Arabidopsis thaliana: one gene and its partners. The protein of the gene in region 4 interacts with the protein of the main gene of each other region in a pairwise test. Each region holds a gene or a part of one and is shown on either strand. Other genes may lie near its edges.

Region 1 (6,690 bases), on a different chromosome or scaffold from region 4:
CATTGGAACAAAGAGAACGCTTGTATTCCACATTGGCCGCGCGCCAAAAGGAGGAAGAACGGAATGGCTTATGCATGAGTACTGCATGATTGGAGTATCACTGGTAAACTTTTTTCTGATCCTTGAAGCCTTATTTTGCCACAAAATAGTAGTACTATATATTTGAAACACAAGGCTTTTCAAAGTACTAACTAGCAAATAGAATATTGTTATGTTTATTGAATTTTCTTGAGTGTTATATAGGATGCTCTGGTTATTTGCCGACTTAGGAGGAATACTGAATTTCAAGGGAGTACAATTCAAAAGCCACCACAACCAAGTTTACCACTGGATAAGCACGTAAACTTGCGGAATGAAGCTATTTCAGAAAGTATTTATGGTTGGGAAACTATGGTTGATTTCTACTTATCAAGTGAGTCAGGGCAAGAACTACTTAGTGAAATAGCAGAATCTTCACAATCTTCACAAAATCCACAGGTTGGTCCTCTTTTAATTAGTTCTTTGTATCATTAAGTATGTCACATGATGCATTTGCGGGTTGACATAGCACATTAACCCAAATGGTGAGGTCTAAATTCATGATTTGATTCCCAGGAATTTTTCCATGTTTAAAGGTTCCTAGTGAAGAAGATTTCTATGCCGATATACTGAGGGATGAAATAGTAAAGCTAGATGATCCGGCGGTATCCGGTAATACACTGATCAATGTACCAAGGCTTCAAACAGAGTCCAATACCACAAGAGTACTACCTTTACCTGACATGGTAGACAAACAAATGCAATCGTTGCTACAGAAACTACCATTACAAAATGACACTGGAGAAGAGAACAACATATCCATGTCAAATTGCTTTATCGGTATCTACTCGATTAAGTCTATAAACCGAGCGCGATGGGACGTTGTTGTTTGGTTACTCGTTATGATAGCCGTGTTGGTGTTTTATTTAGTGTGAGGTTAAAGAAGACATCTTCTAGGCAGTTTGCTTGGTTCTTTCTTAATGTTGAGAGAATATGTTGTTCTTGTTAGGCTTAGTTTACGTGTAGCATCTATGTGTTCTAAGTATATGAACCTGTGTGGTTTTCGAGATATATATGAATTCTGTATCAGGTAGATTTTTCTATCTTTATAAATTCATTGTCAATGAGATTTTCAGGTAGAAAAGAGATGTGGAAAATGTATATTTTATTTTGGTTTTAATTATCAAGTTAAAGAGGACTTCTTTTACACTTTGTAGTATTTCTTGGTGTTACTATGAGTCTTTATTCTTTTTTTACAATCAAACACTTTCAAACGAAGGAAAAAAAACACACATTTAAGATACAAAGCCGGAAGACACATGTAAGTCCACAGATATTTAACCGGCGGAAACGAGTATTCCTCAGATCTAAAACACAAAAACAAAAGCCAATTAAAGGTACCAAACCAGAATCAAACAAACAAAATCTAAAAGTTAATTCCTAATGCTCCAATTGAGATGCCATCTGTGAACACCACTTCTTTTCTGAACTGAATTTTGTTAGTGATGACGGAGATCATTACAACCACCGGAAAACTCTGAACTACGCGTCATCTCTTGATAATTACTAGATTTAAGAAATCAAAACATCTACTTACAACCCCAACTTGATGAGGCTTCGATGATGAAGCTTTGGAATCATCAAATACATGTTGACACCGGTAAATTCGAGATTCATTTGATGGAAGACCGATAAGCCGAAGTAGACTTTTCAGGTCTTGACCCAAATTTGACTGTGAAATCTTGTTGGAGGAAACTGAAGGAACCGTCTAACCGCAACATCACTCATCTCAGAGATGAGAGAGGTGGATAAATCGGTTGAAGGCCTAGGGAAGAGAAGCTAAATCTGAAGGATTTGAGGAAGCATGAGAACTAGGGATCAAAATTTGATTTCGAGAATCTATGGCTTGGGCACCTAGTTGACCATCACAACATAAACTTTATTCGGTCATGAACAACCGAGAGCAAAGCAGCAAGAAACGCCGACAGCCAACTTGATCATCTCGACTGTAAAAGTCAATTGATGTAGGATAAAAGCCAACCAAACACCTTAAAAATCTGGTGCATGTTGGAAAAGAGTCCGTTACACGGGATTTGATAACCGGAAAAGATCCGGACGGCAACAAACTTAATGAGTCTCCTTTGAAAGATTCAATAGAGAGAATAGAGAGAACCGACTATTCTAACTTTTGTTTTCATGTAGTATAAAAGTCTTTTGTTACTATGAGTCTATGATATCAATAATAGAATTATAGAGATCGATTTATTTGGGTTTTAGTTATTATTTTCCAAATCTTTAATTTGGGTTTTACAATACATTTTTCTCTCTAAATTGTCTTAAAAGTCTCTTTCATAAAGATAATTTTTTTTAGTAATGAGTTTTTATGTTATGGCTAAAAATATCTTTTAAGTAACAGATCAAATATCCAAAAGAAAATAATGATACTAATACTTCACATATATTTGACTTAGCCTAAAATTGGTCTATAAACATAAACTTTATTATCTCTGTATAATATGTTTCCTACCTTTATCTCCTCAATTAATACAATGTTGGGTAGGGAACTAGGGGTGTTTGTGACAATTTGAAATTTCAAGCTAAATTACTAAAAGTAATAAAATCTAGGATTACTTTTAGCAGAACAAAAATTAAATTATGGGGTCAATCTGAAACGTCATTAGTTCTGTTTCTTTTTTGTAAAGAAAAGATTTTGCGCAATTCATCATCAATCAAATAAAAACCTCAGCTTTTGGATTTCTCTACTAACACAAAAACTCTCATTTCTCTGTTTCTGATTGCGAATTCGATCTCAAAATTCGATTTTTGAAAGATCTCGTTCAATTTCACCATTCACGGAACCTAACGGAGGAAGAGGTCGATCATGAAGTTTCGTTCTTCCTCTGGTCAAATTCGATTTGTAAGTTCAAGATTATCTTAATCGCTTCACTGGGTCTTCATTTTTGTCGATTCTGAGAAAAGGGTTACAAGAAAAATTGAATTTTGATCTTAGAGGCCGATAAAAGCCCAAGTTGATAGATAGGTCTTAAATGTGTTATTGCTTGACTTTAGTAATTGCAGATTTTAGAAACTTTCCAAATATAATTTGATGATGATGGATTAATAAAATTGAATTTGTTAATCCACCACTTTTGTTTTACCTAGAAATAGTTAAAATTGCTTTGTGAATCCAAAGGAAATGTGTAGTCTTTGAGTTGCTAGGCTTGTAAATAGTGTATTGGATTATGAATTGGCTAAAACTTTTGGGTGTTTGGGGTGGCAGGTGTTTTAAAAACTGAAGTAAACATTAAACAATGTCGAAACCGGTCCTGCTCGTGTGTCTACTAGTTATACTTATAGTTACCTCTCAGTTTGAATGGAGGCAACCACTTGTTGAGTTAGATACAGCCACTAGCTCGTCTCAGAAACAGCAGCAAATTTCAGATAGGGAAGAAGCTGTCAAAGAGAAGGTACTGATTCCAAACTTTCTCTGTGTGTTTCCTTTTAGAAGACGAGAATTGTAGTTGTATACAACATCTAGTTTTGGGATTATGCCCTGTGTAGTGGGTACCTTAGTGTCTTGTTAATGAAGCTTCACTTTCATATATATGTTGCTTAGTGTCGTGCTTAAGGGTCATATGTTTTCATTAACTAAATCAGTTTTTAACCACGTTGTTTTTGAATCGACTTTATTCTTTGCATTGATTATCTTTTATGGGACTTTCTGCAACTTTAAACGATTTCTTGGATTGGATTTCGTGTCTTATTCTGTTAGTCTATGCGGTTGTGTATTGGAATTCTCCAATACTGAAAATTTTGTTCAACTGTTTGCTTGGATTACTTAGTAGGTTTTCCTCTTATGCATAAGACTAATTGAGAGAAGTGGAAAATTCATAAGACTAATTTAGACATAACTTCTTTGATTTTACATTTTAGTACTATAAGGATCCAATTGGAAGGCACTGGTTCCCAATTCTTTCATGCATGTTTCTGTGCGGTTTCCCGTTAAAAGAAGAGCTTGTTTAGTTGTATGTAAGATACATGATATAGTTTTGGGATGGTGACCTTATGGCCTAGATGTAGTGGTTGGTTACCTTTCGTTAGTGTCATGATGATTACGCTTCATCTTTATATATCTGTTGCTTGGCGTCATACCTAAGTGTATGCATTCATTAAATCAGTTTTTAATCCTTGGGTTGCTGTCTTAGAAGGTGTATTGATTACCATTTGACCTATTGTTTTTGAATTGATTACGTTTTCTTGGACTTTCTACGATTCTATATGTTTTCTTGGATAGGTTTCCGTGTCTTGTTCTGTTCCTCTCTGCTGTTATGTATGAAATAATTCAATAAGATTTCTCAAAAATGTGTTGTATCCTTTGCTTGGATTGCTTAGTGCGTTTTCTCTGATGCATAAGTAAGAATTCAAAACTATATGACTATATTAAACATAACTTCTTTTGATCTTATATTTTAGTACCATCGAGTAACCTCGGGTTTCCACTTAGTCTTGATCTCAATGTATTCTCTACCAACTTCCATCTTAGTAATCTATATCTTTCCATGCTAATCCATCTTGAGGCTATCATTATCTATGCTAGGATCACAAGTTTTCATTTAGACAACAATGACACTTGTAATAGCTGCAAATCCAAGAGTTGAAATGAAGTTAGATATATGGATTAGTAGCTCGTAGCTTTTGGGACTCAACATGATATAAGTTATGGGCTTGTACTCTTTTTCATCTGTATAATAACACATTCCAGGTTAGTTTCAGATGATTGTTTACTTCATCTGCTCGTAGAATGGTTCTCACTTAGGTATTTTCAGTCACCATCTACAAAAGGCTGCCCTTATTTTAGTGTGGTCTCAGGGGAAACGTCAAAATCTAACAGCAAAGTTCACTGTTTTTTACAGATCATTATATCACAAGAGAGACATATCCAGAGGCTAAATGAGCTAGTCAGGAGTCTTCAATTGCAGTTGCTGCAATGCAAGGGAGAGAATGAGACCCAAAATGCCACCAAAAGCTATCATATAAATAAACAATTCATCGAGGTCGAAAGGAAACAAATCCTGGAAGGCTAAACTCTGCAGCGACAAAACATTATTTTAATAACTGTTTTGGTAATGTACAAGTTGTGAAAGAAATCACTCTTTTAACTTTTGTGTTGAGATGTTGTATTGTACAAGAACAAGACGTCGGTTTTTTTTTATGTCGTTCGCTAAATCAATGTCCAATGTTAAATGCTCAACCCAACGTAAAGGCAATTTTCAATAATCGACGACCGATAAAGTCACTTTTTAAGCAAGCAAAATATTGACTTTTAAGCCAGCAAAATATTTTAAAGCTTATGAACGCTTTCTAGAAAAAAAAAAAAAACGTTTGAAGGATATGCGAGTTTGTTTCAATTTCTAAAATCTAAAATTTTGAGCATTCATATGATCCATCTATCGTTTTGAGTCTCTGTTTCCGTTGAATTGATCATCTTTCGTTTAACGGGAGTTTTTACTTTCTGTTTCCGTTGAATTGATCATCTTTCGCTTGGCGGGAATTTTTACTTTTTTTTTTTACTTTTTCGTTATCAATAAAAAGAAGATAGTTTAGTTATTTTGTAAATACAAGGGATAATTTAAAAAATTGACAATAGAAAAAGGTATTTTTGAAAAAAAAAAGAAAATGAGTATTTTTGCAAATGCTCCAAATTCTTTATCTTATATATCACAAGTCACCTAACCAATAAAATTTGCCACATAGGTTTTTATTTTTTCAATTATTTTTTATAAAAACAATTAAACAAAATTGGGTTACGTGAAATCAGAAAATTATATTGTAAGCCTGATAGCCCATCCAAATTCATAGTTTTTTACATGGTTTTTTTTTTTTGAATACCAGGAGGTTCTGGGCTGAAACCCATAATCGTTCTAGACCTGAAACCACAATATGTAATATTAGTTTCATCCCAAGCATCACTCGAACTGGCGACCTCTAAGCTTCGCCTATGGTCTTTTTTTTTTACTCATGTTTCACATCTAAATTCTTCAAAAAAGAATAGAAGATCCACCTCCATTTCCAGCTACGATTAGGATCACAGCGGGATCCACCGTGAGAGTTTCGTTTCCAAACGAAAACTCTGTCGATAACGGCCATAGATAAGGAGGAGAATCAGCCGGCGACGGAGTTGACAGAGATGAAGTGATAAATGAAGAAATGAATAGGAGAATAAGAAGAAGAAGATTTGTTGAAATTTTCGAAAAGAGTGTTTGGGTCAGTGGAGGATTGTTCGTTCTTGTCACATAAGAAGAAGACGAGGAAGATAGAACTTTTTTGAAGTCGAAAGATTCAATTTTTATTTATTACACGAAGAATCAATTTGAGTTAATATCATTTTTCTGGTAGTTCAATGTATTAGGAATGTGGTCTAACTTAATCTAAAATCTAGCTTTTGAGTAGGTATACCACATACTTATATATTGCTCCACAAATTATCAAATTCTTGATATGTGACATATTCTAACACACCCTCTCACGCTCAGGACTCGACATCTGAAGCGTGAAGTTTGTGGAAGTGGACATCCACGGGTGGTCCACAATTGAGACACATTGAAACCATGGGATTTGATACCATATTAGTATGAGCCTAACTCACACCTAAAAGCTAGCTTAAGAGCTAAA
Region 2 (5,439 bases), on a different chromosome or scaffold from region 4:
TCAAAGTAATTTTTGGATTCACATCACCAAAAAAATTAACAGAACAGAGTTAACCACGTTAATATCACTTTAGTTTTTTTACAAATAATGATTTGAGTATAATTTGATCGTAATTTGTAACCCCATTTCATCATGGAAACAACAATAAAGTTCACTCATACATTTCGTTTTCCCTGTCGTACCTTGACACAGAAACATAGTCCACAGATTTTACTACTAATACTATTTCGAAGACGTACGAGGTTTTACGGAGGGAGATTTGCGAAAATTCACCTTTCTTGTTTAGCTTTTTTGAACATGAGTTTTTGATTAAACTTAACTATATGGAAAGTCTTGTGGAGCAGTTGAAATCCATCAAGAAGGATAAGTTTTCTTGTAATGATAAGTGGTTAACCCTTAAGCTTCAAATCAACAAAAACTTTGAGGTAACGCTTGTTGATTACGAGATCCTGAACAAGATATTTTGGGATATATAATTGTGAGCGATTGATCGATAGTAAGATTTCGGATATATATTGGGACTTTATCTGAAAACACTAAACAATAAGTCGTAAATTGGGAGTACGTAAAAACATTAAGGGTCTAAATGAAATAAAACCTATAATATAACTAGGTTTAGTGACGTGGCATGCACACGTAGATTAAGCAATGCCTTGGCAACACGTATGCAAAAACCCATATGTGTGCACCTGTGAAGTGTTCCAATAACAATTCAAAAGCTCCCTGAGCAAGTGAGAAGAGACCACACTGAGAAGAAAAATCCTTCAGGTTATCGAAAATTCCCGGATTTTACTCTTTGGGCGGTGGCCGATTTCTTACGCGCTCTTTTTGTGGCGACTGTTGTATACGCGCGAGCCTTCATGGACACGAAGGCGGTTGGAGTTTCTAAGGATACGGCGGCGTCGATGGAAGCGTCGACGGTGTTTCCTGGGTTTAAATTCTCGCCGACGGATGTGGAGTTGATTTCGTATTACCTGAAGCGGAAGATGGATGGCTTGGAGAGGTCCGTTGAGGTTATACCGGACCTTGAGATTTACAATTTCGAGCCTTGGGATTTACCCGGTTTGTCTTCGAATTCGAACCAATTGATTCTTTTGTGTCTTTCTTCTACTTGGAATTTGATTTTGTTGTTCTTCAGGCTTCAGGAGAGATCTCTATTTTGGGTGCCTAAGATATAAAGTTTCTATTTTTTGGCTCTTGGATTGGAATTGACAATTTTTTTTGTGTGTTTGTTCTTTGCAGATAAGTCGATTGTGAAATCTGATAGCGAGTGGTTCTTCTTCTGTGCGCGTGGGAAAAAGTATCCACATGGTTCACAGAACAGGAGAGCAACGAAGATGGGATACTGGAAAGCAACTGGGAAAGAGCGTGATGTGAAGTCTGGTTCTGAGGTCATTGGAACAAAGAGGACGCTTGTTTTCCATATTGGTCGTGCACCAAAAGGCGAAAGAACTGACTGGATTATGCACGAGTACTGCGTGAAAGGAGTATCTCTGGTAAAACTGTTCTCGAGAGTTTGTTTTTTCTTATAGATTAATTGTTAACCATTACATAAGAGGTGGTGACTTTGGCTACTTTTTGAGTCTCTAAGAGGAATACAGTAAAATTTTAGGAGTTTTGTCTTTGGCTTGAGTTGATTGATTATGTTTATGTAAATTCTAGGATGATGCTATGGTTGTTTGCCGGGTTAGGAGGAACAAAGAATACAATAGTGGTACAAGTCAGAAGGCACCAAAGCCAAATTCATCAGCCGAGAAGCATGCGAAAGTCCAAAATGGCGCTACGAGTTCAGGGAGCCCGTCTGATTGGGACAACTTGGTTGATTTTTACCTAGCAGGTGAATCAGGGGAGAAACTACTCGCTGAGATGGCAGAGTCATCAGAAAATCTACAGGTTTTGTCACCTGGCTTCTAATTGTTGTATGATGGTTCTTGATTGTTGTCGTTCTTCTTAATGAATGTTATGTGTGTGTGGTTTAGGTGGATAATGACGAGGATTTCTTTGCGGATATCCTAAGAGACGAAATCATCAATCTCGATGAAGCGGTGATGACAGGGAACACACCAAACGAAGTGCCAACACTAGAATCAGCATCAATGGAGATAAGGGTACTTCCTTTACCAAACATGATAGACAAACAAATGTCATCACTGTTAGAGGAAAGACCATCACAGAAGAAGAAAGGAAAAGACGCCACGGAATCATTGTCGAGCTGCTTCGTGGGTTTATACTCGATCAAATCAGTGAACAAGGCACGATGGGATGTTATTATAGGTGTAGTGGCTCTGATAGCAATGTTGTTTTATCTAGAATAAGAGGCTTATGGAAGTAGCGAAAAACAGTGTCCTAGCTATGTTTGTATCATCTTTTCTCGGACATTGACAAGGATTATATGATGTTTTTGTGTAAACGGTTTATGTTTTACACTTCTACTTCAAATCTGTGCAACCAAATCAAAACCTGAAATATCAAGCACAGAAGAACTAGTGGATATAGTTTTTACACTTCAAGGCTTATTAAGTGGTGTGTTTAATGAGAATCAGAGAATGGATAAATGATGGGGGCAAATTAGTAAATGACTATTTTCCAAATCCGTACTGTTTATCTTTCTCGTCCAGATGGTTGTTGCACTAAGATTTGTAGAATTTTCTCGCCGCCATTAAACCTCTGCTTTTGTTTCTTTCTCTCTTCTTCTATACGAGAACCCATTTTGGAGAAGTCAAGTTTCCTCAATACTCCGTCAAGCCGATTTTATTGATCTCGATCAGTTTCGTCAATTTTTCCGGTTTAAGAAACCCTAGAAAAGCTGATGATTCGATAATGAAGTTTGATTTCACTGTGATAAATCGATCTGTAAGTTGGAGATACTTAATCGTCTTCGTTATATCTTCTACGATGCTTCAATTTTGCTTTGTTGTGCTGAGGAAATTCAGTTTTTCTGTAGTATGTGTTATTTGCTTATCCTTAGTAAGTTAGTTACATATGAAGGAGATTCGTATTGAAACCCTAGGTCATTGATTTGATGGAGTTGCTTTTTATAGTATCAGCTTACACTGTTTACATTGTTCTACTTTTGGTTTTTAATTAGAAAATTTGAAGTGAGTAGGTGAATTTTAAGTCGCATCGATCTCATTTTCGATATATGTCTCAATTCGATTAGGCGTGGTCTTTGGATGTGTGTTTAGGATGGTATGAAATGGATTGATTGTGAAATTTGGAACAGGTTTTGTAAGAGCTGAATAGAAAATGTCGAGGCCGATCATGCTAGTCTTTCTTCTGGTTATACTTATAGTCACTTCTCAGTTTGAATGGAGGCAACCACTTCTTGAGCTTGATGCAGCTCCTAGCTTGTCTCAGAAACATCAGCAAATTGCAAAGAGGGAAGAAGCTGTCAAGGAGAAGGTACTTACTTCATTCTTAAACTCTTTTTCATTGAAGTTTTGTGTGTTCAGTTGTATGAGAAAGACCTGAGAATTCGTTTTGGGATTGTGACTTATAGATTAGTACAACTGTAGCAGAGATATGCATAATTGGATAGTGTCAGTTAACTTAGAATGCTCTGATGCTTAAGATTCCTATATCTGCTTCACTTGCCTTTTGAGTCAATCTATAACTATGCCTTAGTAGTTGTGTTGTTGACTTTATCCTCGACATTCTAGTCTCATGAGTCTCTGGACAAACATTCTTTGTAACTGGCTTTCATATCTCTATCTTCTTCTTTTTGAGAATGTCTATGGAATCCATCAATGACTGATCTGAGTTTTTAATGTTGCATAGAAATATTCGGGGTTTTTTTGCCTTCTGTTGTGTTTTCCCTGATTGCATCAAATAGATGAGGTTAGTGGAGAAACATAGACTTATTGGTCTTGCAACCTTAAAGTTCCATTGGATGTATGACGAACCTCATAACTTCAGCATAATTTTGAACCTGAAAATAGAAGAAGACCTGTCAATTCTTAGTTTGTTAATCGTTACAGATCATCTTGTCACAAGAGAGACATATCCAGAGGCTAAACGACCTTGTACGAAGTCTTCAAATGCAGTTACAGCGATGCAAAGGAGAGAACGAGACACGAAACGCCACTGAAACCTCCCATAATAACAAACAGTTCATTGAGCTCGAGAGGAAACACATCGTGGAAGACTAGTATTTCCTCCGGTTACATCAATTCTAATAAATAACCCAAATGGTACGTAAAAACTGTTGTAATTTACTTTTGTTGTGTTAAAAACCTTGCTGATGTTTTGATTAGAAGGATGATTTACTTTATTCACGTGTAAGATTGAGATATTTAAGTACTTGTAATAAAAGTTGAGAATTAGGGTACTTGTAATATCTTTAGTTATGGTTGATTGATTCTATCATTGTCGATGTCTTGGTATAGTCAAACTTTGGTTGTGTGTAGTTAGATTTTTACTTTGACTGATGAGGCTAACGAAAGTCTAAGATGACAAAAGCAATCTTATGTCATATTCTTTCCATGATTTCATCACTAGTCAGAGCCTAAATAAATCTCTTATTAGACACCAACCACAACTCCATATTTGTTCTAAGTCAAACAAAACCAAATCTCCCATGAATTTTCACATACTCATTTATTATTCTTCCATTTTACTATTTGGCATTCTAAAAGTCAATAATATTAACAGTCAAAAGCCATTCATCTGTTTTTGGTCAATCTTTCTATCATTTGTTGGCCGTGCGTCTAGCCGTCAAGCTATCCAAATTCATATTCACCAATACTTATCAATTTTTCAACAATAATTTTCGGTTTATTAAAAAAAGTATCATCATATACGACTTTAGAAATCTAATAATATCAACTACCCATTAAACTACAATTTGTTTTTGTCAACACCGATTTTAACTACATTACAACCTTCCAAGTTTGAAACAAATGCATTGTCTACTTCTTCCCTCTCAATTTGAATTTCGATTTTCATACTAATAATATGATGATTTATGAAAATGGACAAAAATATCTCCTTTGTAATTATCCAAATACTATTTGGTAATAAATGCAATTTCAAAGCACAAGTCATATACTCAATCTTTTGCATACTATTATTTTCAAATTACATTTATTGCTTACAAACACCTCATATTATAATTATTTTCTACAAGAATATTTATTTTGAAAGCTAGATGAAACTAATCCTACTAATTCATTAATATACATTCAATGAGACCCTCTCTCATCTTGCGTGTATCTTCTCCTCTATCTATATATATATAACAGCCACTAACATGCAGACATCAAACTATCTCTCTTTAAATCTCAAGAACAAGAACTAAACTACTACTAGTCTTCACCAAGGTAAAGCTACTTTGGAACCCGAGAACCAAGTTAATTTGTTCTCATCGAATTTTTTTTGTTCTCATATGTTGAAATTTTGTTATTGTCATCTTCACTTTTTGATTGATCGATAGAAAAATAA
Region 3 (4,816 bases), on a different chromosome or scaffold from region 4:
GAACTATATCTATATATATATGTACATATATATATACCACTAAGTTTTACATGGTGGTGACTTAAGTTTCAAGTTTATTAGTTTTGGGTAAGAGTCTAAGAGATAAATTATTCATTTGGTTTGAAAAGCCACACTAAAAAGATGAAATAACCGTTTTCTGAGAGGGGAAACAAAAACTCTACAACAACTTTTTTTTTTTGGGAAACTGAGAGAGTGGCAAATAAAACTTCTCATTAAACTCGGGGCCTTATTAATAGCCAAAATAGTTCTGAAGAACAATTAATGATGGCAATTTATGTTTTGTTTGTTCAATGTAGAGAAGGTTGTGAGGGCCCGCACGAGCACCAACGAACAGAACACGTGTGTGGACGACCATTGGGCCTTGCCTTTGACAAATCCACTGGTGACCTTTATATAGCCGATGCTTATATGGGCCTTCTTAAAGTTGGCCCAACAGGTGGTGTCGCCACTCAGGTGTTACCACGTGAGCTAAATGAGGCCCTTCGATTTACCAATTCTTTGGATATCAATCCACGGACCGGAGTTGTCTACTTTACCGACAGTAGTTCGGTTTATCAACGGAGGTACAAAATTCTTGGAAATTTAATGAAAAACATGTTTTTATATGAGTGAAAAAGATCATTGTTTATATGTTTTTTTTTTTTGTTTTGTTTATATGATGCATTATTAGTACGTAAATTGTTTTTTTTTTCCAGGAACTATATAGGGGCGATGATGAGTGGGGACAAAACTGGTAGACTGATGAAGTACGACAACACGAAACAAGTGACCACTCTTCTAAGCAACTTAGCGTTTGTAAACGGTGTCGCTTTAAGCCAAAACGGTGATTACCTTCTCGTCGTCGAGACCGCCATGTGTCGTATCTTACGTTACTGGCTCAACGAAACGTCGGTAAAGTCTCAATCTCACGATAACTACGAGATTTTCGCGGAGGGGCTCCCTGGGTTTCCAGACAACATAAAGAGAAGTCCACGTGGCGGATTCTGGGTAGGCTTGAACACAAAACACTCAAAGCTGACAAAGTTCGCCATGTCGAACGCGTGGCTTGGACGTGCCGCTTTGGGCCTGCCGGTGGATTGGATGAAGGTCCATTCGGTTTGGGCCAGGTACAATGGGAACGGCATGGCCGTGAGGTTGAGCGAGGATAGTGGCGTTATATTAGAGGTATTCGAAGGTAAAAATGAAAATAAGTGGATATCTATAAGTGAGGTTGAAGAAAAAGATGGAACTCTTTGGGTTGGATCGGTGAATACTCCTTTCGCTGGCATGTATAAAATCTAAAATTGAGTAATACAAATATGTTTTTCCAACAATATGATTCATATATAGATAATTAGACGATACATCCCCCCTCCCCCTATTCTTATTTTTTAGGATAACAACTAATAAGTCCGTTTAGTACCACTTTATATTGTGCTAGGTAGCTACATGCATGCCTTTTGATAATTTAAACTGTGAACAAAATATTAATATTAAAACAGTTATTATTTATAACATCCACGAGAAAAACACCTCATAACCAAAAACCATTAATGAACCTTTGGTTTCTTTCTATTGAGCTCTCTCTAGGTATCTTACTTAGGCACCATGCTTCTTTTATTTATACATACATACGGTAATTGACCACTGCATGCATACAAACATATAGAGTTTGTGTTACATGCGAAATCATGGCTTAGCTTCTTCCTTCTGAGGCTCAACAGTTTTTACAACTTCGTTGGCCTCGGCTTGACTGCGGCAACAGTATATGCACAGTCCATTCCACCAGTACCCACCGCAACATCCGAACCTACAACCACCACCAGGCAAGCCTTGCTGGGGCTCTACAACAGCGTCATTGACCTCGACTTCGGCTTCTATAGCATCAGTTGCTTCAGTACTCGGCTTCACTTCTTCTTTAACTGCACGTGTGATATACATGTTATACACCATGGATCAAATATTTAATCATCTGTTACCAAAAAAAATAAAAATTTAATCATGCGAAAGTGTGAAGGGAAATTATATTATATAGAGTTGCACACACCATGTGTGGCATCGTTGGATGTGTCCGCAATAACAGCAAGGGAGAGAGAAAAGAGCAAAGCCACGAGAACGAGAGACATGAGGTTTCCCATTTTTTGTTTTCGTTACACAAAACACTTAGCTTATTTGGTTTATTGAGGGAAGATGATTTTGTTAGTGAAGTGTATGATGAGCACAGCACATGTATTTATAGTTGGGCAGCAAAACTTGGGGACAAGATACCAGTCAACTTTGTCGCGTGATCGAAGATAATGGCATATATATTTATAGGGATATTTCTATAACGAAAATGTTAAAAAAAAATTATATGATCTTTAGAGACCATATATAATAGATCTGATCATAACCTATCGTGTTTACACGTGTCCACCAGTGGTCACAAAGTCCTATTCTTGGACTTAAAAGTTCAAACCCACCGTTCGAAATGATAATGTTAGCTTCTATCCATTCCAAAAACGACCGTTCGTCCGTTCGGCCTTGCCTTTGACAAATCCACTTGTGACCTCTATATAGCCGATGCTTATACGGGCCTTCTTAAAGTTGGCACAACATGTGGTGTAACCAATCAGGTTTTGTCATGTGAGCTGAATGAAGCCCTTCGATTGACCAATGGATAGGATATCGATCCACGGACCGAAGTTATCTACTTTATAGAGTTAAAATTATCTTATATTATCTTAAACAAAGAACATGTTTATACTTTATATTAATAAAAGGAGCATGTTTATATGATGGATTAGCTCGTAATTGTTAATTTAATTGATTAATTGAGGGATAGTACGATGAGTGGAGACAGAATCGGTAGACTAATGAAGTATGACCCAACTACGAAACAATTGACCACTCTTCCAAGTTCTAAGCAACATAGCATTCGCAGGCATCGTTTGGAGTAAAAACGGTGATTACTTTATAGTTGTCGATCGATGCCACCACGTGTGGAATCCTATATTACTGGGTTAACGTCTAAATTTTAGGAAAACTACTAAATTTTTGTGGAAAGGCTTTTGGGGTTATCCGACAACAGAAATAGATCCAGAATTCGGAGTAGCCGGGTAGGCATATTGAACATGTGGCTTGGAACTGCCAGTGGACTGGATCCATTCGGTTTGGGCCAAGTACAAAAGGAACGACATCGTCGTGAGGTTGACCGAGAGTAGTGGCGTAATTTCGAATAATTTCGGAAGTTTTGGAAGGTAAGAAATGAAACCACAAAAAAAATGAAAATACAAATAAAAAGAAACATGAAAATAATGTAAGTGGATAACTGGGTATATCTATTTGACCATCCTCATTCAACAATTTTTCACAAATATCTTTCACGAAAAATAATAGTAAAGTTAAAAATATCCCAAAAATAGGAGTTTTAAATGTCTCTAAGAAGACACAGTTCTCATTTAAATACACTCATATTTTTACTCTCTTTTTTCATAAAATATTGATGTTTACGTGTTTGTAGTTTGTTACATAAAGATTGATTTTTTAGGTTTTTACTTTATTTTTATTAATTAATATTAATAAATCTTAGATTTTAAGACATAATGATTAACTATTTTATACTACAATTAGTTCAAAATTGTTAAAAAATATTTAATTTTTAAAAATGATTAACCAATAATTAAACAATGATTATTTTTGAATATATGTGAAAACTCTAGAACATCAAACTTTTTAGGAATACAGAAAATGTTTTTTTATATATTTAAAACTATCCATTTAAAAACACCCATACAAGTAACTAATGTAGAAACTAAAATTGATTAATACAAATATACTTGATTCATACATAATTAGACGAGATATTCCCCTCGAATACATGATTTTACAGCAGCACCTTTAATGTTTACGATTTTATAGTAGAATCAGTTATTCTTTATTCTTAACTTTTAGGATAATAATTCTGTTTGGTTCCATTTTATATTAACCTATGGCTTTTATTGAGCTAGCTAGCTTAGCTACATGCATGCCTCTTCATAATTTAAACTGTGAACAAAATATTATAATCCATGGTATTAAAACAGTTGTTATTATTTGGGGATCTTTCTTTACTCAAATGATTAAGTCCATTTTATTCCGTTTTTCCTATCGGAATTTGACTTAACTCAATTGTGTTACCCGTATAATATGAATTGGTTATGACTCGAAATTTGTCAAAAAATAAATTAAAAAACAGTTGTTATTATTTATAACATCCACGAGAAAAGAAACACTACATAACAAAATACATATTATATGAACCTACGTTTTCTTTTATTGACCTCTAGGTACCTTCTTAGGTACTATTTTTGCTTTATTTTGACATACGTACGTAATGGTAATTAGCTATGCATGCATACAAACATAGAGAGTTTGTATTACACGCAATTCATGGCTTAGCTTGTTGGGCCTCAACAGTTTCCACAACCTCGTTTGCCTCGGCTTGACTCCTGCAACAGTATCTGCACCGTCCACGCCACCACCCACCGCAACATCCCCACCTACAACCACCACGGCCACCGCCACCACCACCGCCACCACCACGGCCACCCTGCTGAGGCTCAACATCGTTGGGCTCAACAGTTTCCACAACCTCGCTGGCCTCGGCTTGACTCCTGCAACAGTATCTGCACCGTCCACGCCACCACCCACCGCAACATCCCCACCTACAACCACCACGGCCTCCGCCACCACCACCGCCACCACCACGGCCACCCTGCTGAGGCTCAACATCGTTGGGCTCAACAGTTTCCACAACCTCGCTGGCCTCGGCTTGACTCCTGCAACAGTATCTGCA
Region 4 (6,626 bases):
ATTGTTAAACGTAACAACAGATGTGAGAACAAAATTGACGAGCATCTCCTTGATCTTGAAAGTTATGTTTCTCGTCATCATTCTCAAGACTTCTATAATACATCACTGGTTGAAAAGGTAGGGAACTGTTGATGGATGTAAATATTACCATGAGATAATCATCTGGGTTGTTATCTATCACAAAGCCATACAGGTAAAGAAGCTCCTGCATTCAGCAAGAAGGCACATCACTCAAACAAAGGGCTAGATGTGATTTTTTACCAAGAGACAAGTTATATAGTTGTACAAGATAGCTGCAAAACATCTTACCTCATTTCCTTTGTTACCATAACTGATCGAGATCTCCTTCTTTGGGATAGGACGTTGAGCAACTGCTTTACAGAATTGTAGCACTTAGTTTTCCGCATACAGATCAAAAAGAAGAGAGGAAAAAGAATGTTCTGTATTGTTTGATTGAAAAATTGTAGAAAGCTGAGAGGTAACACAAACAAATATTTGGCCAACCAGAGAGAAGGTACATGGAGAAAGGAACCCTAGATACTGATCCGATCCCATCAACTTCCCAAGTCGCCACAGGCTTCAAATCTATACTGCCATAACCATAGGTCATTATATCACATCACACTGGGATATACTCATTAACCATATCAACATTATGGAACGGAGAAACTGATAATAGAGTCTTTTTGAAACAAAGATTGGCATACCATGGTTGCAAAAGTCAATGCCAGGAACAAGCCCCTCAACCCATATTGTATCTCCGGATCCTACAGATGGCGCAGGTTGAGCCTGAATTTCTACCCATCAGAAAATGAAGAAACCCATGAAATTGTCGTTACATGATAGAATAATAATAATTAAAAAAGAGGCATTTCACACAGAATTCAGCAGACCGACGTTAATGACTTGCCTTTTTCCTCATTAGAATTAACTGGAGCCGTTTCAGGGGACTCACTTGTTGATGTGCATTCCCCGGTATCATCTTGGCTTTGTGGAAACACGAAAGAATGTGGAAGAGGAATATTCAAGGCGCGACTCCAGAATACAGAGTTTGCCCTGGCATAATTGAAAAAAGTCGCAAGATCACTAAGCAGCCCTTTACAAGACACAAAAGTCTGGTTCTACTAACAAGGAATAACACCAGTACCAAACATACCAGAGGAAGTGTTCAAAGGAGACCTTGCTGCACGAAGAGAGAAAACAAAATATGATTATCAATGAACAATAATTTGGTCTAAAAGTAGTGTAAATATGTCAACCTTTCGGAATCGCCATCCAAAATAAGAAGCTTTGTCACCAGGACCTCCACCTTGTCATGGTAAAGCGAGAGCAACTTCTTCTTCTGAGAATGAATACACGATGGTTATTGGGTTTAATAAATGAAAAGAGAAAATGTGGTTGCTATTTTAAGGACGATATGATAAGACAGGAATAAATGATCAAGATTGAGACCTGTAACTCGGTTGCGTGATACAAGTTAGTCCCTTTTAGCTCAAGGATGTCATCATCAGAAAACCAAAGAGGATTGCCAAATCGAGTAGGAAGCATATCAAGATACCTATCATATCATTTCTAGACAGATGAATACCCTTAAGCTTACGTAAATGTGTGCTAAGAGATTAAAAAAAAAACTTACGGCTTCCAAGAAGAATTGATACGAAGACGCTCCAAAGTGAGGAACAGAATCATGAGAAAGCGGTCATCAACTTGTCCTTGTTCGAACATTTTCTGACACTCAGGGCCCAGGAGAGGGTCCTGAAGAACTCTCATAGGGGTAATGGCCAGATCAAGCGGAACAACAAGCAAAACTTCTGAAAATTTCCAGAGCTGAATCAGAATTCAATATCAACTTTCCATACATATTCCCCGGAAAAAAACCCAGCAAGAAATGGTAAGAACAATACTATACCATCGGAAGCTTGAGTGGAGGTGGAAGCGAATATGCCAAATCCTTTTAGGGAGTCAGAATATTTGATGTTGCAGCCTCTTAATTCACCTCCATTCACCTGAATGAAATTAGATCGAAACACAAAATGCCATGATATAGAGCAGCAGATCAGGACTGAAAAACAACACTTAATCCGGATCTAACCTGAAGCCAATCTAGGAACCTTTCGAGTTTGGCTTCTTCTTCTGAAATCGCCATATCCTCCGGCGAAGATCAATATGCCGGCGACGGGTTTAACCGAGTAGAGAGGGGTTTTCAATCGTAACTCACAATACGCTGTCGTAATGGCTTCATCTATGTGGGCTTTTGTATGGGCTTATTTAGCGTTTATGAACTTAAACACACCAAATTTAAATTTTTAACAAAAAAAGAAAAATTGAACAAGTGAAAAACGATAACCAAAAAAATCAAACCAAGACTGCTGTGATATCCCAAAACCGAGAACCAAAATATTGAACCGGGCGGCGTTAAAAGTCTCTCGCCGCAGTTAAACTCTTCCGTACGCCAAATATCTAACAAGGAGCTCTTTAGATTGAGACTAGTGGAAGAGAGACGAGCAAGGAATTAGCAATGGCGGCGGATTTGCCGGAGGCGACAGTACAGAACATTCTGGACCAAGAGTCTCTTAAATGGGTTTTCGTCGGAGGTAAAGGAGGTGTTGGGAAGACGACATGCAGTTCAATTCTCGCAATTTGTCTCGCCAGTGTTCGATCCTCCGTTCTCATCATCTCCACCGATCCTGCTCACAATCTTAGTGATGCCTTTCAGCAACGCTTCACTAAATCTCCCACTTTGGTTCAAGGTTTCTCTAATCTCTTTGCCATGGTAAGCTTTCTCCGATTTTGTTCTAGATCGTGCTAGATTTTAGAGGGAATTTGGTAGTTTCGCTCCTGGATTTTAATCTCATTGGGAATTAGGGTTCTCTGATTCACGAATTTCAAACCGCAGATTGATGGATCAATTTTGATTTTGAAGTCAGATTTAGTACTTGCATAAATACGGTTGATTTGTGCCTTTCTTATCATATGCCCACTCTGATTTTGGGGATTAGGTTTGGAATTTGGACGCCAATTTGTATTCTTGATACGGAAGGGGATTGTGAAGAAGATTTGATGTCCCCAAATCAAATCGAATTTTTGTCTATTGTAGTTAAAATTCATGGCTAGTTATGCCAAATTCAAAAAAAAAAAAAAAAGTTGTTTTTTGTGGTTCTGGGTCGCCTCTAATAGACAGGCTTGATGATGACTTTATGGCTACTCTTCTAAGCTTGAAGCTCTTAGTTGTGTCTGTGTGTATATGTATATATATACACATACTATAAGCAAATGGTTACGATTCACACTCCTTCCCTCTTGATAGTGAGTGAATCTTGTTTGCTTTTCTCAGGAGGTAGATCCTACCGTTGAAACTGATGACATGGCTGGTACAGACGGGATGGATGGTTTATTCTCTGATTTGGCAAATGCGATTCCTGGAATCGATGAGGCTATGAGTTTTGCTGAGATGTTGAAGTAAATAGCCATTTAGTTCTTCTAGTAATCATCTGCCTTTATCCATGTATTATCACAGTCAAATTTTGATATGTTTATGTTTCCTTAGGTTGGTGCAAACAATGGATTATGCTACTATTGTGTTTGACACTGCTCCTACTGGACATACTCTCCGCCTGTTACAGTTTCCGGCCACACTAGAAAAGGGACTTTCGAAGTTGATGTCATTGAAGAGTAGATTTGGTGGCTTGATGACTCAGGCATGTCTTTAAGCTTGTCAAATTCAGTTTGCTTGGCAACAGATATTGCTCTTTGGTTTCTTCTTTGGCTGATTTTTCATGGAACTGATTGGTAATGCAGATGAGCCGTATGTTTGGCATGGAGGATGAGTTCGGAGAGGATGCTTTGCTGGGAAGACTTGAGGGCTTGAAAGATGTGATTGAGCAAGTAAATCGGCAATTCAAAGACCCGGTAACATTTTTTCAATTGTTTAAGTTCTTTGCTATTTTCAGTACTCATTGACTGTTTTCTTAACTCTGTTCGTGAAGTTTAGTTTTAGATTCTTCACATTGTTCTGTAGCATACGGTTTGACAGCATTCATTTGCATTAGTGAAAATTCTGATACATATCTAACAAACTCTGCATTTTAAGATAAGAAATTGACACATTTGGCTCCATTACGTAGGATATGACTACGTTCGTTTGTGTCTGCATCCCCGAGTTCTTGTCTCTCTATGAAACAGAGAGACTTGTTCAGGAACTCGCCAAGTTTGAGATTGACACGCATAACATTATCATCAACCAAGTACTATACGACGACGAAGGTGCCTATTTATTTGCTGTCGTGTCTATCTTCTCGTTTTGAACTTGTTTTACATACAAATTTGACGAATTATCTACACTTGTCTTCTGTAGATGTGGAGTCCAAGTTGCTCAGAGCAAGGATGCGGATGCAACAGAAGTATCTTGATCAGTTTTATATGCTATACGATGACTTTAATATCACAAAGCTTCCTCTGCTTCCGGAAGAGGTAAGAACGCATGACATTCAATATAGATGAGAAGGAACATGATCAAGACGAAAATGAAACTAAAGCCTTATATAATATACATCCTGAGATTTACACTTGTTGTGGATGTTTGGATCACAGGTGACAGGGGTTGAAGCCTTAAAGGCGTTTTCACATAAGTTCTTGACGCCGTACCATCCTACCACTAGCAGGAGCAATGTAGAGGAGCTGGAGAGGAAAGTACACACATTGCGTTTGCAGTTAAAAACAGCTGAAGAAGAACTCGAACGGGTCAAGAGTGGCTAAAGATAAGGCTCTGTTCTTCCCTTTAATTGTAAGTTTCTTTCCTCGCCATATTCTTGGAACTCACTTGCTTTCTACATGGGGGTCTTCTGGATCTGCGTTGTCATTTGGGTTTATTGTTGTTTATGTTTTGAACAATTTATAGGTGGAAAATTAAAACTGAATCTTTTTCTCTCTAGTTCTTCATCTAGCAACAACTCTTTATAGGACAGGAAAGAAGATCAAGCAGAATCTTCTTTTGCGTTGTTTTATTGTTATGCATTGGATTTGTTTTTATATTTGTAATAATCATGACTACATAGACTCATATCTACCAAGAAATCGTTGTTTTACGACTTAATCAGCTTTTTATATATTAAGTTGAAGGGTATCTGTGACAAGCGAATGCTATGATCTCTTGTAACAGCTTTTTATATACTGTAGACTGGTCTTGCAACAGAGAAGGAAAATTCATGTAAAAAAATTATAGTAAATAAGAGATGTTTTGATTTATTGACAAATTCTTACAAGTTTAGGGTAAGCTTTTGTTCAATAAGTTTCTTTGGTATATAATAAATATGAAAATGGCAATCAATAGATGCGAAATTTATTCCCACGTCACGGCGATTGGGCTTCTGACGTTGTATTTGTCACATATCCAAACCAAAACTCCAAAGGAAGACGAAGACGAATTTCTCGAAGCTTCTGCATCATACGTCACCGTATAACTCAACCTCTCTCTGGCCTTCTGGAACTTGAGCACCTTTGGTTCAACTCTCACCTTCACACCTTTTGGTTCCTCAACGTGCACCATATACTCACAAGTCGGTGACCCAACGTTAGTCACAGTCCTCTTATATCTCACCGTTTTCAAATTCGCGCCATTAACGAGGTTGACCGCGAACGAGGGATAGTTCAAATCACCGGGACTCAAAACGACGGCGTTACTAGCACACGTGTAGTTAGTGCCGGAGAACAAGAGTATTCTCTCACTCGTGTAGTTCAAGCTGCACAAGTAGTTGAGATAATCGACGGTGGAGGTATCGTATACCAGCCCGGGATCTACCGCTCGCGTGGGATCCACGTTTCCCGCTCCAAACGCAAACGCTGTGGCCGCCGATTCAGCTCCCGCGGCGCCTCTATCTCCGATCGGTCGGTTCCTATTGTCAGTGATCCTCGCCGTCGTCATGATTGCTGATTTGATCATCGCCGGTGACCAGTCCCCGTGAACGGACTTGATTAGAGCGGCGATTCCGCTGATGTGAGGACAAGCCATGGAGGTTCCCGAGATGATATTGAATTGGACGCGTCTTGGATCGGATCTGAGGAGGCTAGGGCTGCTGAACGGTGACCATCCGGCGAGGATGTTCAGACCGGGAGCCGCAATGTCCGGTTTAGCTATTTCCGGTCCCGCGACGCTAGGTCCTCTGGATGAGAACGCGGCTACCATCGGGGCGGTTGCACCATACGCGGTTCCTCTGAATCGAACGGAGGCGGTGGCGTTTGCTGCTCCGGCGAGGTAATTCAGTAAGGTTTTACCGTCGGAAAATCCAAGTGAAACGGCCGGTAAAACGTGAGGATCAGCAAGAAGCTCCTCTCCTTCCGCCTCTGTGCTCACAAGAAGCATCGCTGCTCCTCCGCTCCGTTTCACCTCTTCTCCTTTGGCCGTTCTGCCGCTGGCTCCTCTTAAGCAAATGACGATTTTACCCTCGACGAGTTCTCTCTTGAGCGAGTCCCGGATACAGAACACGGCTCCGCTTTCTTCTCCAGCTGTTCTGTTAAACGCCAAAGGCAGATTCTTTAAGCTTTTTCCTTTATACAAGGATGATCCGACCAAGCTTTTACGGTTCCCGATCCGGACAATCGCCGGAAACGTCCTATCCGTATAACTGGCA

Evidence for each region.
Region 1: the proteins of AT1G01910 (region 4) and AT3G44280 interact in a two-hybrid assay, tested with the Arabidopsis thaliana proteins (one large-scale study listed by BioGRID).
Region 2: the proteins of AT1G01910 (region 4) and AT5G22280 interact in a two-hybrid assay, tested with the Arabidopsis thaliana proteins (one large-scale study listed by BioGRID).
Region 3: the proteins of AT1G01910 (region 4) and M10 interact in a two-hybrid assay, tested with the Arabidopsis thaliana proteins (one large-scale study listed by BioGRID).

Annotation. Positions count from the first base shown.
Region 1 is NC_003074.8:15,967,172-15,973,861, reverse strand, and holds AT3G44280 (peptidyl-prolyl cis-trans isomerase G), read left to right. Parts: upstream 1-2,664; 5' UTR 2,665-2,935; intron 2,936-3,298; 5' UTR 3,299-3,329; coding exon 3,330-3,485; intron 3,486-4,791; coding exon of another isoform or gene 4,792-4,818; exon of another isoform or gene 4,819-4,931; coding exon 4,932-5,102; 3' UTR 5,103-5,347; downstream 5,348-6,690. Other genes in the region: NAC060 (NAC domain containing protein 60), read left to right, coding at 1-103, 244-477, 615-953.
Region 2 is NC_003076.8:7,372,920-7,378,358, reverse strand, and holds AT5G22280 (peptidyl-prolyl cis-trans isomerase G), read left to right. Parts: upstream 1-2,639; 5' UTR 2,640-2,820; coding exon of another isoform or gene 2,821-2,853; intron 2,854-3,223; 5' UTR 3,224-3,246; coding exon 3,247-3,402; intron 3,403-3,832; coding exon 3,833-4,087; coding exon of another isoform or gene 4,088-4,148; 3' UTR 4,149-4,364; downstream 4,365-5,439. Other genes in the region: NAC089 (NAC domain containing protein 89), read left to right, coding at 861-1,062, 1,243-1,496, 1,663-1,893, 1,980-2,315.
Region 3 is NC_003071.7:17,207,085-17,211,900, reverse strand, and holds M10 (late embryogenesis abundant protein (M10) / LEA protein M10), read right to left. Parts: upstream 2,205-4,816; 5' UTR 2,139-2,204; coding exon 2,048-2,138; intron 1,923-2,047; coding exon 1,690-1,922; 3' UTR 1,478-1,689; downstream 1-1,477. Other genes in the region: SSL2 (strictosidine synthase-like 2), read left to right, coding at 318-584, 717-1,302; M17 (glycine-rich protein / late embryogenesis abundant protein (M17)), read right to left, coding at 4,409-4,816. UniProt on the Arabidopsis thaliana protein: May be involved in the acquisition of desiccation tolerance during late phase of embryogenesis.
Region 4 is NC_003070.9:311,724-318,349, reverse strand, and holds AT1G01910 (P-loop containing nucleoside triphosphate hydrolases superfamily protein), read left to right. Parts: upstream 1-2,259; 5' UTR 2,260-2,518; coding exon 2,519-2,773; intron 2,774-3,334; coding exon 3,335-3,459; intron 3,460-3,547; coding exon 3,548-3,698; intron 3,699-3,798; coding exon 3,799-3,909; exon of another isoform or gene 3,910-4,124; coding exon 4,125-4,263; intron 4,264-4,354; coding exon 4,355-4,470; coding exon of another isoform or gene 4,471-4,478; intron 4,479-4,590; coding exon 4,591-4,755; 3' UTR 4,756-5,196; downstream 5,197-6,626. Other genes in the region: AT1G01920 (SET domain-containing protein), read right to left, coding at 1-54, 149-205, 310-371, 505-585, 708-789, 894-1,056, 1,157-1,183, 1,260-1,342 and 4 more; SBTI1.1 (subtilase family protein), read right to left, coding at 5,339-6,626. UniProt on the Arabidopsis thaliana protein: ATPase required for the post-translational delivery of tail-anchored (TA) proteins to the endoplasmic reticulum. Recognizes and selectively binds the transmembrane domain of TA proteins in the cytosol.